Linked DNA regions of Arabidopsis thaliana. The protein of the gene in region 1 interacts with the protein of each later gene in a pairwise test. Each region holds a gene or a part of one and is shown in the gene's direction. Other genes may lie near its edges.

Region 1 (3,968 bases):
ATAGAGGGGAAATGATGGACAAATAATGAATAACTGAAGCATTGATACAAGTTAGATGCATTTCAGGTTAAATAAATATGGCCAAATTTAAATTTCATGACTCTGAACCACCAATTCACCTTAGTGCGGCTTTATGTACCACCTAGGTATCGCAATCTAGATGTAGTGTCGTTATAGAGAGTCCATAAAAGTAGATAAGGATGCGACACAAACCTTTCGGAAAATGATCCAGGTGCAGGAAGAATGGCCGTGCTTTTGCCTGGATTACCAGTATTGTTCCTTCAATTCAAGAATCAATAATTATCAGTATCAATCAGCACGATAAGTAGAGCATCAATCACAAAGACAAAACAGGAATAACATTCTTGAGAATGTCGTAAATTATTTATACTAACTATATGGACTAGTCACATTCCAAATGAAAATGTATACTCACAAGTCTCTTGGCGGTAAAGTTGGACCAACAACTAAAGCTTTCTCTGTTGCGCTTTTTCGAAGTTCCTTGGACCCTTTTGGACCTGCGGAGAAAATAATTTGGTCTTTCAGAACGAGAAACAATAGTCATGAAAAAGGCTAAAAGATTACACTAACAGCGTTTTTAGTGCAGCAGAAGTTTGTTTGAAAAGATACTCTTAAGAGGATACATTACTGAAACTTGTTTTCCAATCCTAATTATAGACATATATGAATGAAACTCACAACTAATATAAATAGATATCAGGGAAACTAGAAAATAGGAAACTAGTTTTGTCTCACAACAGGAAAAACAGATAAAAGAACTACCTGGAAGCGCAAGGGCTTTCAATGGAGCCGTCTTTTCACTGTTATGGTCAGCAATACGTGTAGGCTTACTTGCAGGTTCTACGCCTCCAAATGCAACTTGAATCTATACAAGTAACGTCCAAGTCATTAACTTTTATATTCTACTTGATGTTCACTAAAACGCTTGATGCAAACTAAACATCTTACTATAAAGATGAGGGTAATATGCTAGAAAGCAAACTCAAACAATAGTAGCTGATGAGAAGAATCTAACTCCAGATAAAAGGTAAACTATAAAAGTGATAAGCCATTGACTGTTCGATTTACACCTTATAAAATTTTCTCAGGTTCAACGTCTCTGAAGCTTGCTATAAAGCTATCCATTATCAAACTCAAAACAAAGAAGAAGCGAACAAAATTTTCAACACGATCAAAGATAAAATTTAAAAAATATTCGAAAACCCCCTTACCTTATGGCAGAGCCGAATTCTTTTGCTGCGAGACAAGAACAAAAACAGACAAGAAGAAGAAATCGTCAATACACATAAAAATTCTGAGAAATTTCGAGAAAAAAAAGTGGACATTGCAAGCGAAACTGTTGATTAACCTTTCAGGATCAGGCTGAGGAAATTGGCCATGGACGGGGGAGAAAATTTCACGAGCTCGTCTAACAGATTTTAGACTGAGTTTTTTCAGTGACTGAGTTTCGACCTCCCTGTTCAAAGCTATCATCGTCATTCTAGGGTTTTACACGAACAATCAGAAACAGAACGAGAAAGACGGAAGAGAAGAGAGGGAAATAGGATTTTATCCGACCCGAACACTATTTATACGTAGCCCAACACTCGAATCCCCACCCGTTGGACCAAACCCGGCTCATTAAGCGTCGGTTCAGATTTATTTCCTTTATTTAAAAAAAAGGAAAGGGTAAAAAATAGAAAATTGGAAACAGTTAAAGCCCAAAATTGTAATTTACCGAGAATTGTAAATTTACCTGAAAACCCTACGCTATAGTTTCGACTATAAATACCAAACTTAGGACCTCACTTCAGAATCCCCTCGTCGCTGCGTCTCTCTCCCGCAACCTTCGATTTTCGTTTATTCGCATCCATCGGAGAGAGAAAACAATCAATAAGCGACCATGTTGGTGTACCAAGATCTTCTCACCGGTAAGCTCAATAATTCCTTAATCTCGGTATGAACTGTGTAGCTATCGATCTTTTTCTTCCGATCGGAATAAATCATGTTATCGAATTGTTAGATCTGTCATCGCATCATAGGTTTTTCGTTGATTTGCTGCTCTTTGCATTGATAATTCAAATCTTAGGGGATTAGTTTATGTGATTTGGTTAGATCTGTGATTCATTAGTATATAAACGTCCTTTAATTGAGCTTACCGATTCGTTGTAGATTGGATTTTAGGGTTTATTCGCTTGTATCGATTAATGTTTGGGATCTTATGAGTAATGACTAAAGAGTCTGGGCTATTGATTTACAGGTGATGAGCTTCTGTCTGACTCTTTCCCTTACAAGGAGATTGAGAATGGAATCCTCTGGGAAGTAGAAGGAAAGGTCAGTGTCATCGATTCTACTTCAAGTTTTGTTTTGATTTTGTTAAATTTTTGTTTTCCTGTTCTGAATTGGGTTTTGATTTTGTTATCCAGTGGGTTACTGTGGGAGCTGTAGATGTTAACATTGGTGCCAATCCATCTGCTGAAGAAGGTGGTGAGGATGAAGGTGTTGATGACTCTACTCAAAAGGTTGTTGACATTGTCGACACCTTCAGACTTCAGGAGCAACCAACTTATGACAAGAAGGGATTCATCGCTTACATTAAGAAATACATTAAGCTTTTGACACCCAAGCTCAGCGAAGAAGATCAAGCTGTCTTCAAGAAGGGTATTGAGGGAGCTACCAAGTTTTTGCTCCCCAGGCTCAGTGACTTCCAATTGTAAGTTACCCCAATCTATCGTATCTTGCTTGTTATACATGACATATATTTCATCTGAAATCTCATCAATGCTTGTGTTGTCTGATTTTACAGCTTTGTTGGGGAGGGTATGCATGATGACAGCACTTTGGTCTTTGCTTACTACAAGGAGGGTTCAACTAACCCAACATTTTTGTACTTCGCTCATGGTTTGAAGGAGGTCAAGTGCTGAGAGAGAAGCTCTCGTTGGGTTACTGTGGTCGGTCGCAGCGACTCTCTAAGTTTATGTTTCTTTATATTGTCCTGTGTTTCGTCGTCGTCCCCTATTAAAATTACCTGCCAGTTTACTTTTCTCTCTTCTTGTTTTCTGTGTTGGAAGATTCTCAAGTTATTTATTCCGCAAAAAACGGTTTATCATTTACAATTAGTTGAATTTTGGTCGTTACTTTTTGTGTTATTTGGTGTGATATCTCTTCAGCTTTGCTTTTCTAAATTAAACTCCCGAATCTCGAGGCATGTTTATAGTAGATGTCTAATAATTTTGGATTCAGATCTTATGGACGTGAATAAACGAGTGGGTTACTCTAACTGTTAGTAACTTTAAATCATGGAATATGCTGTAGAATGATTCTTTTGACTTTAGTCTAATGGTGTTTTATCCCTTTAAAAAGAAAAAGTTTCGTACAGACATGATGTCTTGAGACATCATCATAGGCATGTTCTGCTCCTTATCAAGGATTTCTATCTCACGTGCGGAATCGATACTAACTAGAGTTCTGTCATCTTGGTTTTAGTTGTGAGACAAATCACAATGTGGCCGTAATAATAATGTATTATGTGTATTCTTTTACTTTGACAAACAACACAACCTATCCTATGCTTTACTATTCTTTTAGTTTGTTGGTTTTATTATTCGAACTATTTATTTATGTATGTGTGGTGTCCGTATGGATGAGAGGGCAACCAAAATGCGTTGGTACGTATTTGTGTCTCACGTAAAAGGAAACGTGATTTGGTCTTGGTCGGTTTGACGTTGCTCCAACTCTCTTGTATCTTATGTATTTATCGTCATTATTTCTTCAAACTTTGTTGTTCCTTTCGTTTTAGGCTTTTAGCCTACACTATTTAAACATTTCTTATGTAACAAGTAGTATCAACTTCTATCTATATGACTATATTGACGTAGCCATACAAAGGAGGTAGATCATCTAAACTTACACAAAACTAGAGAGACCAATGTTTTTAGGAAGGATAAATAAAGGAAAAGCTCCTTTCA
Region 2 (8,092 bases), on another chromosome or scaffold:
TTCTTCCTCTTAACGGCTTCCTACAATATCTCGATTTAGAACTCCAATCAACATCTAATATTTTGTCTACAACTTTATGTTTTTTCACCTTACTATATGATCTAGACAATCTTTTGTTAGGTAAAGTGTCTAGATATTCTTTCACCTAATTAACACGGAAACGTAAACTTGTACAAAAACATCTATTGATTATAGAAGAGAACCGAGCCGTGAGAGTCGTTTCTCGTCAAGACCGCACCAATCGACTCAAACATGAGCCAAACTGTACGTAGTTCTTATAAGGAACACAAACCTCCATCGTAAACCAACGTTTTCGATCGGTTCTAGCTAGACTCGCCATGCATGCATGTGCGTTGGTGCCCGTAATTACGTACACCAATCTTGATTGATATCAATGCTTATATGCCGTTAATCTTCATCTCGACTCTCGAGGTAGTAGTACTTGACGAGTTCTAAGTTCTTCTTCCGTTATGAGAAATCATATATAAGTTCTTCTATACATCTCGCTTGATTATTATAATCTTTCGCCTTTTAATTTCTCGTTTGATTATTATAATTAATGTTTATAATGAAAAGAATCATTATTTCCCAAAGCAAACGAATCATTTTGAGATAGACTTACAGTTATCACAAAAAGAAATCTAAACGTTTTCCCCAAGATTTAGCCTTTCGTCAGCATGTAATTACTCGTGACATATTCTCTAGCTCATATTTCTTCTTCACGCACGAGCAACCAATTTTGTTATATATGTATAAATCATCTTTGACAATTATATATAATACAGATTTGTTACGAGTATATGAATTTTTTTGAGGTACAGAAGCAAATCAACTAGTGAAACTAAATTAAAGAGCTAACCATCAAATAAAGTAAATTGAATTAAACAAACAAATCATACCACGTGATGACAGCCACCACATTCCTAAAGTTAGAAAATTGGCAAACCTGTAAAAAAGCATCACTTCCCCGAAATCGCAGGTCATATTTCTATGAAAACGAAAGAGAGTTATCTATATAGTAAATGGCTATATTCATATTTGCCCCACCACCCATGACCCATCTCAGTTAATAAATAGTTCTTCTATTCACCTCTATACTATAATCATTCACTTTATCTTATATATAGTCTATAAAACTAAACGTAATTCGCATGATTTTGCCTTTCGTTGCATGAAAAATCCTCCTTGACAATGTACAATTCGTTAGTACTACTCGATCAGTCGCCTTGACTCACGACATTTTCTCTAGCCACTGTTTTATCTTCACACACAAGTACCAATTTTAAACTGTTGTACTTAACTGTATAACATCCTTTATACGTAACGTAAGCCAAAAATTATGATCTAATCAGTTACTACAGATTAATAATAAGATTAATAACGGCCGGTCTACTAATTTTGAACACTTGTGCATGCATTATCTCTCGTTGAAATAGTAAATTAATGCAACTAACTTTACAAGATTAATCGAGGTATATTATAGTCTAAAACAAATATTTAAATTAATGCAACTAACTCTTGAAGATTAATCGAGGTAACGCATCACACTAATCATATTTAATCGGATAATACATATACTGTTAGTAAAATAAATTAAAAAAGATTTGGTAGATAAACGACAAAAATGTTTTTCGTCTTGTTGTTTTCGAGAAGCTTCTTTTTCCGGATTAAAAAAACATTATGCAATTCCACGTCATCAGCGCATTACAAACAATGAAAGACTACACACGACCTTGGGTCAGCATTCCAAAGACCCAACCCTGACTCGCCACGTCGACATATGCCAGCTATTAATGAAGAGGGTAATTCCGTAACTTACTCTAACCACAGAACCCTTGAATTTAAAGTGTAGCAGTAAAATCTCATTTCTTTGAGTTATCTCGTTTGTTCGGAGTTAGAGAGAGAGAGAAAGATATAGAGAGAACACAGAGAGGCGAGAGCGACGTAGGGTTGGTGTTTCGTACGGATTTTCTCGGTCAATCTTAGTTTCTCCGGCGAGAGATTGCTTTTCAGGTAAAAATGGCGGCGGTTTTGGTGTTTGTTCTTCACTTAATCTGTGTTCGATCTGCGTATGAACTCGATTTTTCCACTCGATTGGGTGGATCCGCTTCGTTTTGGTGTTATGGTTCACTGATAGTGTTGTATGTTTAGTTGATCTTTGCGATTTCGGATCTATTAGCTTCGTAGCTGTTTTGGTGTGTGTGTTCGTCTTCGAAGATATTTAGGTTTTTTTTTTTTGTTGCTTCAAATTTCTTACTGTTTCGTGCTTGTTTTCTTACTTCGTTTTCTGTTTAGGTCTTTGATTGTTTCTTACTAGGTTTTCTATGTTTGCTTTGGGCTGTTGAATTTGGTTTTCTATCTCTCTAGCTAATCACTGGTTTTCGTGCTTCTGAGTCGTTTGTTTTTGAAGCTAGTTAGGGTTTTCTTCTGTTGCTTCTATATTTCGATAGTTTTGTGCTTGTTTTCAATGTTTGCTTCTTATTTTCAAGGATAATTTTAAAATGACCCACTGTTTTTGGGTGGTTGTGTTATTTTCACAGGAATCATCATGGTGAGAAAGAGAAGAACGGATGCTCCATCTGAAGGAGGTGAAGGCTCTGGGTCTCGTGAAGCTGGTCCAGTCTCAGGTGGTGGACGTGGTTCACAGCGAGGTGGTTTCCAGCAGGGAGGAGGACAACACCAAGGTGGAAGGGGTTATACTCCTCAACCTCAACAGGGAGGTCGTGGTGGTCGTGGATATGGGCAACCACCACAACAGCAACAACAGTATGGAGGACCACAAGAGTACCAAGGAAGAGGAAGAGGAGGACCTCCTCATCAAGGAGGTCGAGGAGGGTATGGCGGTGGCCGTGGAGGTGGACCTTCTTCTGGACCACCGCAGAGACAATCAGTTCCCGAGCTGCATCAAGCTACCTCACCTACTTATCAAGCGGTGTCTTCTCAGCCTACACTGTCTGAGGTGAGTCCTACCCAGGTACCAGAACCTACTGTTCTGGCTCAGCAATTTGAACAACTCTCTGTTGAACAAGGAGCTCCCAGTCAGGCAATCCAGCCTATACCTTCTTCTAGCAAGGCTTTCAAGTTTCCAATGAGGCCTGGTAAAGGACAGAGTGGAAAGCGTTGCATTGTGAAGGCTAACCATTTCTTTGCTGAACTGCCTGATAAGGATTTGCACCATTATGATGTGAGTTTTGTGTTCCCTTAGTATTAGCTACCATACATCTAATGTCTATTTATAAATTTACCTGACCAACTGTGTTCTTTCTGTTAGGTTACCATTACTCCGGAAGTTACATCAAGGGGTGTCAATCGTGCTGTGATGAAACAACTTGTTGATAATTATCGTGATTCTCACCTTGGAAGTCGTCTTCCAGCGTATGATGGTCGAAAAAGTCTTTACACTGCTGGTCCACTTCCCTTTAACTCCAAGGAGTTCAGAATCAATCTTCTTGACGAAGAAGTAGGGGCTGGAGGTCAAAGGTCTAGTTCTTATGGTTTCTTGTTGATTTTTTTAATAAGGAAGTTTCAGAATAATAACATCTTTCCTATTTTACAGACGAGAAAGGGAATTTAAAGTTGTGATCAAGCTAGTTGCACGTGCTGATCTGCATCACCTAGGAATGTTTTTGGAGGGGAAACAATCAGATGCCCCACAGGAAGCTCTGCAGGTTCTTGACATTGTTCTTCGTGAGCTGCCGACCTCTAGGTACTGGTTACTCATCCTATGGATGTTTGCTTCTTTACTACCATGCTTGTAAGTCTCAGCTGGTTTAGTTTTGCTAACATGTTAGAATCAGGTATATTCCGGTGGGCCGGTCCTTTTATTCCCCTGATATAGGAAAAAAACAATCATTGGGGGATGGCTTGGAGAGCTGGCGTGGATTCTACCAAAGCATTCGTCCTACACAGATGGGCTTATCACTCAATATTGGTGTGATGGCTTGCTGTATTACATTCAATAATTTTTGATATCTGGTTCTCCTTGAATGTTTAACTCATGGTTGTGCTGCAATTTTGTCTGTTTTGTAGATATGTCATCGACAGCCTTCATAGAGGCAAACCCTGTGATTCAGTTTGTCTGTGATTTGCTTAACCGGGATATTTCTTCTCGACCTTTATCTGATGCTGATCGTGTTAAGGTATGAATCAATTGTCATTTTCTGTAGTAAGTGAAATGTTGTATTAATCTACTCTTCTTTGCTTAGTGACTTGGAATCTTCTTCTGTCAACAGATAAAAAAGGCTCTTAGAGGTGTCAAAGTTGAAGTGACTCATCGAGGAAACATGCGCCGGAAGTACCGCATTTCCGGTTTGACTGCTGTGGCCACTCGGGAATTGACGTGCGTATTTGTTTTAGATTTACTACTCTTATTTCGCGAATGTTGAACTTGATGAAATTAATTTTTACTCTCTGTTTTTATCCTTTTCAGATTCCCAGTAGATGAAAGAAATACTCAGAAATCTGTTGTAGAATACTTCCACGAAACATATGGTTTTCGCATTCAGCACACTCAACTACCATGCTTGCAAGTTGGGAATTCTAATAGGCCTAATTACTTACCAATGGAGGTAACTTTGAAATACGTCATCAGGTTTTATTAGCTCACCAGTACTTCCGATTCTAATGTGTTGCTGCACAGGTATGCAAGATTGTTGAAGGCCAGCGGTATTCCAAAAGATTGAATGAGAGACAGATCACTGCTTTGCTGAAGGTTACCTGTCAGCGCCCGATAGATCGAGAAAAAGATATCTTACAGGTATGTTTCTTTATTTTCGATAACTTTGTTTTCCTTCACTTGAATCAAGAGTATCTTTTTGTCCGCCTATCTTGATAGTCGTTTTAAATAATGTATGCTGGTGATAAAGCCTCATTGTGGAATAGATCATTGTAAAATCTGTTTATTCTTACTTGGTTGCATGTGTTTACTTGAAGTAAGTGATTTTCTCAATTCATATCTAACTTGTTTTTAATCATATAAACTTGTGGCTGAAAGGATGTTATGGAATGAATGGCTTAAAAACCTGTTTCTTCTTTACTTGGATGCATATGTTTGCTTGAAGAGAGTGATTTACCTTGAGATGATGCCTTTACTTCATAAATAGTGAGGCAGATTACCATCTTCAGAGTTGTGCTCTTAATTTAGCAGCGCGTGTGTCTTCTGGCTGCTGTTGTTGAAAACTCAATTGTTTATTGCTAACATTATACAATATTTTCTGATTTCTAGACGGTGCAACTCAATGATTATGCTAAAGATAATTATGCTCAAGAGTTTGGCATCAAAATAAGTACTTCTCTGGCTTCTGTTGAGGCTCGTATACTGCCTCCTCCATGGGTATAGTAATCGTTCCCATTGTCTCTTTGCTATTACACTTTTTCTCTGTATCTTAATGACTCAAATTAGGGTTCCAATCTGATTTTAATGTTCTGCAGCTTAAGTACCACGAGTCTGGAAGGGAAGGGACTTGTCTGCCACAAGTTGGTCAATGGAACATGATGAATAAGGTAACTAGACGAAAATGTTCCTGGTTTTCAACTATGCACTTACATGTTTCTTGCTTGTGTTACCTATATATACCTATGCTGTCATTTTTATGTGAATATTTTGTAAATCATGGCTGAGCTGTATATTTCCAGGTAATTGGCAAGAAAATTGTTTATTTATTTGTCTGTTATGAGACATATTACTCTAAAATGCTATTCTCTTGATATGAGTATGGGTGTGGCACTTGACTAGTTGCAGAGAGTATTTTGTTCATGTAGCTATGTAGATACACACTGAATTTGTCTTTGTTATTTTTTGAAAGTGATCACAACGTTTTCTGTTGTCTGGCTAATATGAGTCTTCTCTGCAGAAAATGATCAATGGTGGAACGGTGAATAATTGGATCTGCATCAACTTTTCTAGGCAAGTGCAGGACAATCTAGCGCGTACATTTTGTCAGGAACTTGCTCAAATGTGTTACGTATCTGGCATGGTGAGTCTTTGGAAGCACAAACTTGATCAGTTTATTAACCTTTCCTACACTGATTCCTTCCCTTTAATTTTTTATTTCTTACCTGCAGGCATTTAATCCGGAACCAGTCCTCCCACCAGTCAGTGCTCGCCCTGAGCAAGTAGAGAAGGTCTTGAAGACTAGATATCATGATGCCACATCAAAACTCTCCCAAGGAAAAGAAATTGATCTGCTTATTGTCATTCTGCCCGATAATAATGGATCATTATACGGTATGAGCCATGGTCTCGGATGTTTCATTGTCTACTTCTGCTTAGGAACACACTCTCAACTTATTTTCCTTAATAATATCCATTGCAGGTGATTTGAAACGCATATGTGAGACTGAACTCGGCATAGTCTCTCAATGTTGCCTGACAAAGCATGTCTTTAAGATGAGCAAACAATACATGGCTAATGTTGCGCTGAAGATTAATGTGAAGGTTGGAGGAAGAAACACAGTGCTTGTTGATGCTCTATCTAGGCGGATTCCTCTAGTCAGTGATCGACCCACCATTATATTTGGTGCTGATGTTACCCACCCTCACCCTGGAGAGGATTCAAGCCCATCTATTGCTGCTGTAAGTTAGCTTCTCCTTTAAGATCTACTTCTGTATATGGATGCTTTTGTTTATTTTCATGGCCTTAACCTTTTCAAATTGTGCTTGTTTTGTTGACAACGAAATTTTTGTTTTCAGGTTGTGGCATCTCAGGATTGGCCTGAAATCACTAAATATGCTGGATTAGTTTGCGCTCAAGCGCATAGGCAGGAGCTCATTCAGGATCTGTTCAAAGAGTGGAAGGATCCTCAGAAAGGTGTGGTGACTGGTGGCATGATAAAGTACGTGTGGATGTTATTTAATATTTTCGTGATTGGGTTTTAGCTTTAGCTTGCTCTTAAGTAACAGATCTGTACGTTTCTCCCCTTACTTTTGAACAGGGAGTTGCTCATAGCCTTCCGTAGATCAACTGGGCATAAACCACTAAGGATCATCTTCTACAGGTATTAACTCTTCTTATGGCACTTACTTGACTAAATAACTTTCTGTCTTTCTTTCTGAAATGTATTATATGGTTATTCTGCACAGGGATGGAGTCAGTGAGGGACAATTTTACCAAGTTTTGCTCTATGAACTTGATGCCATCCGCAAGGTAACAGTTACTTCTAACAAATGGCTTGTGTTGCGTGCTCGTTTTCTTCTGTTTAATCTGATTATTATTTCAACTCATTTCAGGCCTGTGCTTCGCTGGAAGCAGGTTATCAACCACCAGTGACATTTGTGGTGGTGCAGAAGCGTCATCACACGAGGCTGTTTGCTCAGAACCACAATGATCGCCATTCGGTGGACAGAAGTGGGAATATTTTACCTGGTGAGACAAGTTTGGATCTTTGTCAAGCTTTTTGTGCGTAGACCTAATCAGCTGAAAATCCCTTGCATTGGTTTTTAACCCCTTTGTTAATTGTAGGCACTGTTGTGGACTCTAAAATCTGCCACCCTACAGAGTTTGACTTTTACCTCTGTAGTCATGCTGGTATTCAGGTATAATTTACAATCTCAAATGAGTTTGTGGGTGAGAATTTATTTGAAGTGTTTAACAAATCAAAACTCCATTAACAGGGCACTTCTCGACCTGCTCATTACCACGTTCTTTGGGATGAGAACAACTTTACTGCAGATGGACTTCAATCTCTGACCAATAACTTATGTTACACGTAAGATTTCTTACCTTTGTAACATATTCCTTGTTACAAGTGTTTGCAAGATTGCAAGGAAAATAAGAGTAACATTTAAACTACCTTTTTGATTTGTACAGGTATGCAAGATGCACACGCTCAGTTTCAATTGGTAAGTTTTGTGTTTCCCATCCCTTAATGTCATCTTGATTTTGATATAAAGAAGAGAGAGATTTAGTATTCAATGTTTTTTTTTTTTGTTTTGGGATATTGTAGTTCCCCCTGCATATTATGCACATCTAGCAGCTTTTAGGGCTCGATTCTACATGGAGCCAGAGACATCAGACAGTGGCTCAATGGCTAGTGGGAGCATGGCACGTGGAGGTGGAATGGCTGGTAGAAGCACACGCGGGCCTAATGTCAA

What was found. Proteins that work in one complex are often made in the same cells at the same time.
Region 2: the proteins of TCTP (region 1) and AGO1 interact in a two-hybrid assay, tested with the Arabidopsis thaliana proteins (one study listed by BioGRID).

The regions. Positions count from the first base shown.
Region 1 is NC_003074.8:5,668,665-5,672,632, reverse strand, and holds TCTP (translationally controlled tumor protein), read left to right. Parts: upstream 1-1,790; 5' UTR 1,791-1,903; coding exon 1,904-1,931; intron 1,932-2,260; coding exon 2,261-2,334; intron 2,335-2,426; coding exon 2,427-2,713; intron 2,714-2,806; coding exon 2,807-2,924; 3' UTR 2,925-3,316; downstream 3,317-3,968. Other genes in the region: AT3G16650 (Transducin/WD40 repeat-like superfamily protein), read right to left, coding at 214-279, 437-518, 784-886, 1,233-1,257, 1,370-1,500.
Region 2 is NC_003070.9:17,886,349-17,894,440, reverse strand, and holds the start of AGO1 (Stabilizer of iron transporter SufD / Polynucleotidyl transferase), read left to right. Parts: upstream 1-1,844; 5' UTR 1,845-2,013; intron 2,014-2,540; 5' UTR 2,541-2,548; coding exon 2,549-3,184; intron 3,185-3,271; coding exon 3,272-3,480; intron 3,481-3,556; coding exon 3,557-3,706; intron 3,707-3,791; coding exon 3,792-3,931; intron 3,932-4,029; coding exon 4,030-4,139; intron 4,140-4,232; coding exon 4,233-4,339; intron 4,340-4,429; coding exon 4,430-4,568; intron 4,569-4,639; coding exon 4,640-4,756; intron 4,757-5,224; coding exon 5,225-5,332; intron 5,333-5,430; coding exon 5,431-5,502; intron 5,503-5,852; coding exon 5,853-5,975; intron 5,976-6,063; coding exon 6,064-6,226; intron 6,227-6,314; coding exon 6,315-6,574; intron 6,575-6,691; coding exon 6,692-6,834; intron 6,835-6,933; coding exon 6,934-6,996; intron 6,997-7,081; coding exon 7,082-7,145; intron 7,146-7,228; coding exon 7,229-7,364; intron 7,365-7,460; coding exon 7,461-7,534; intron 7,535-7,612; and 5 more.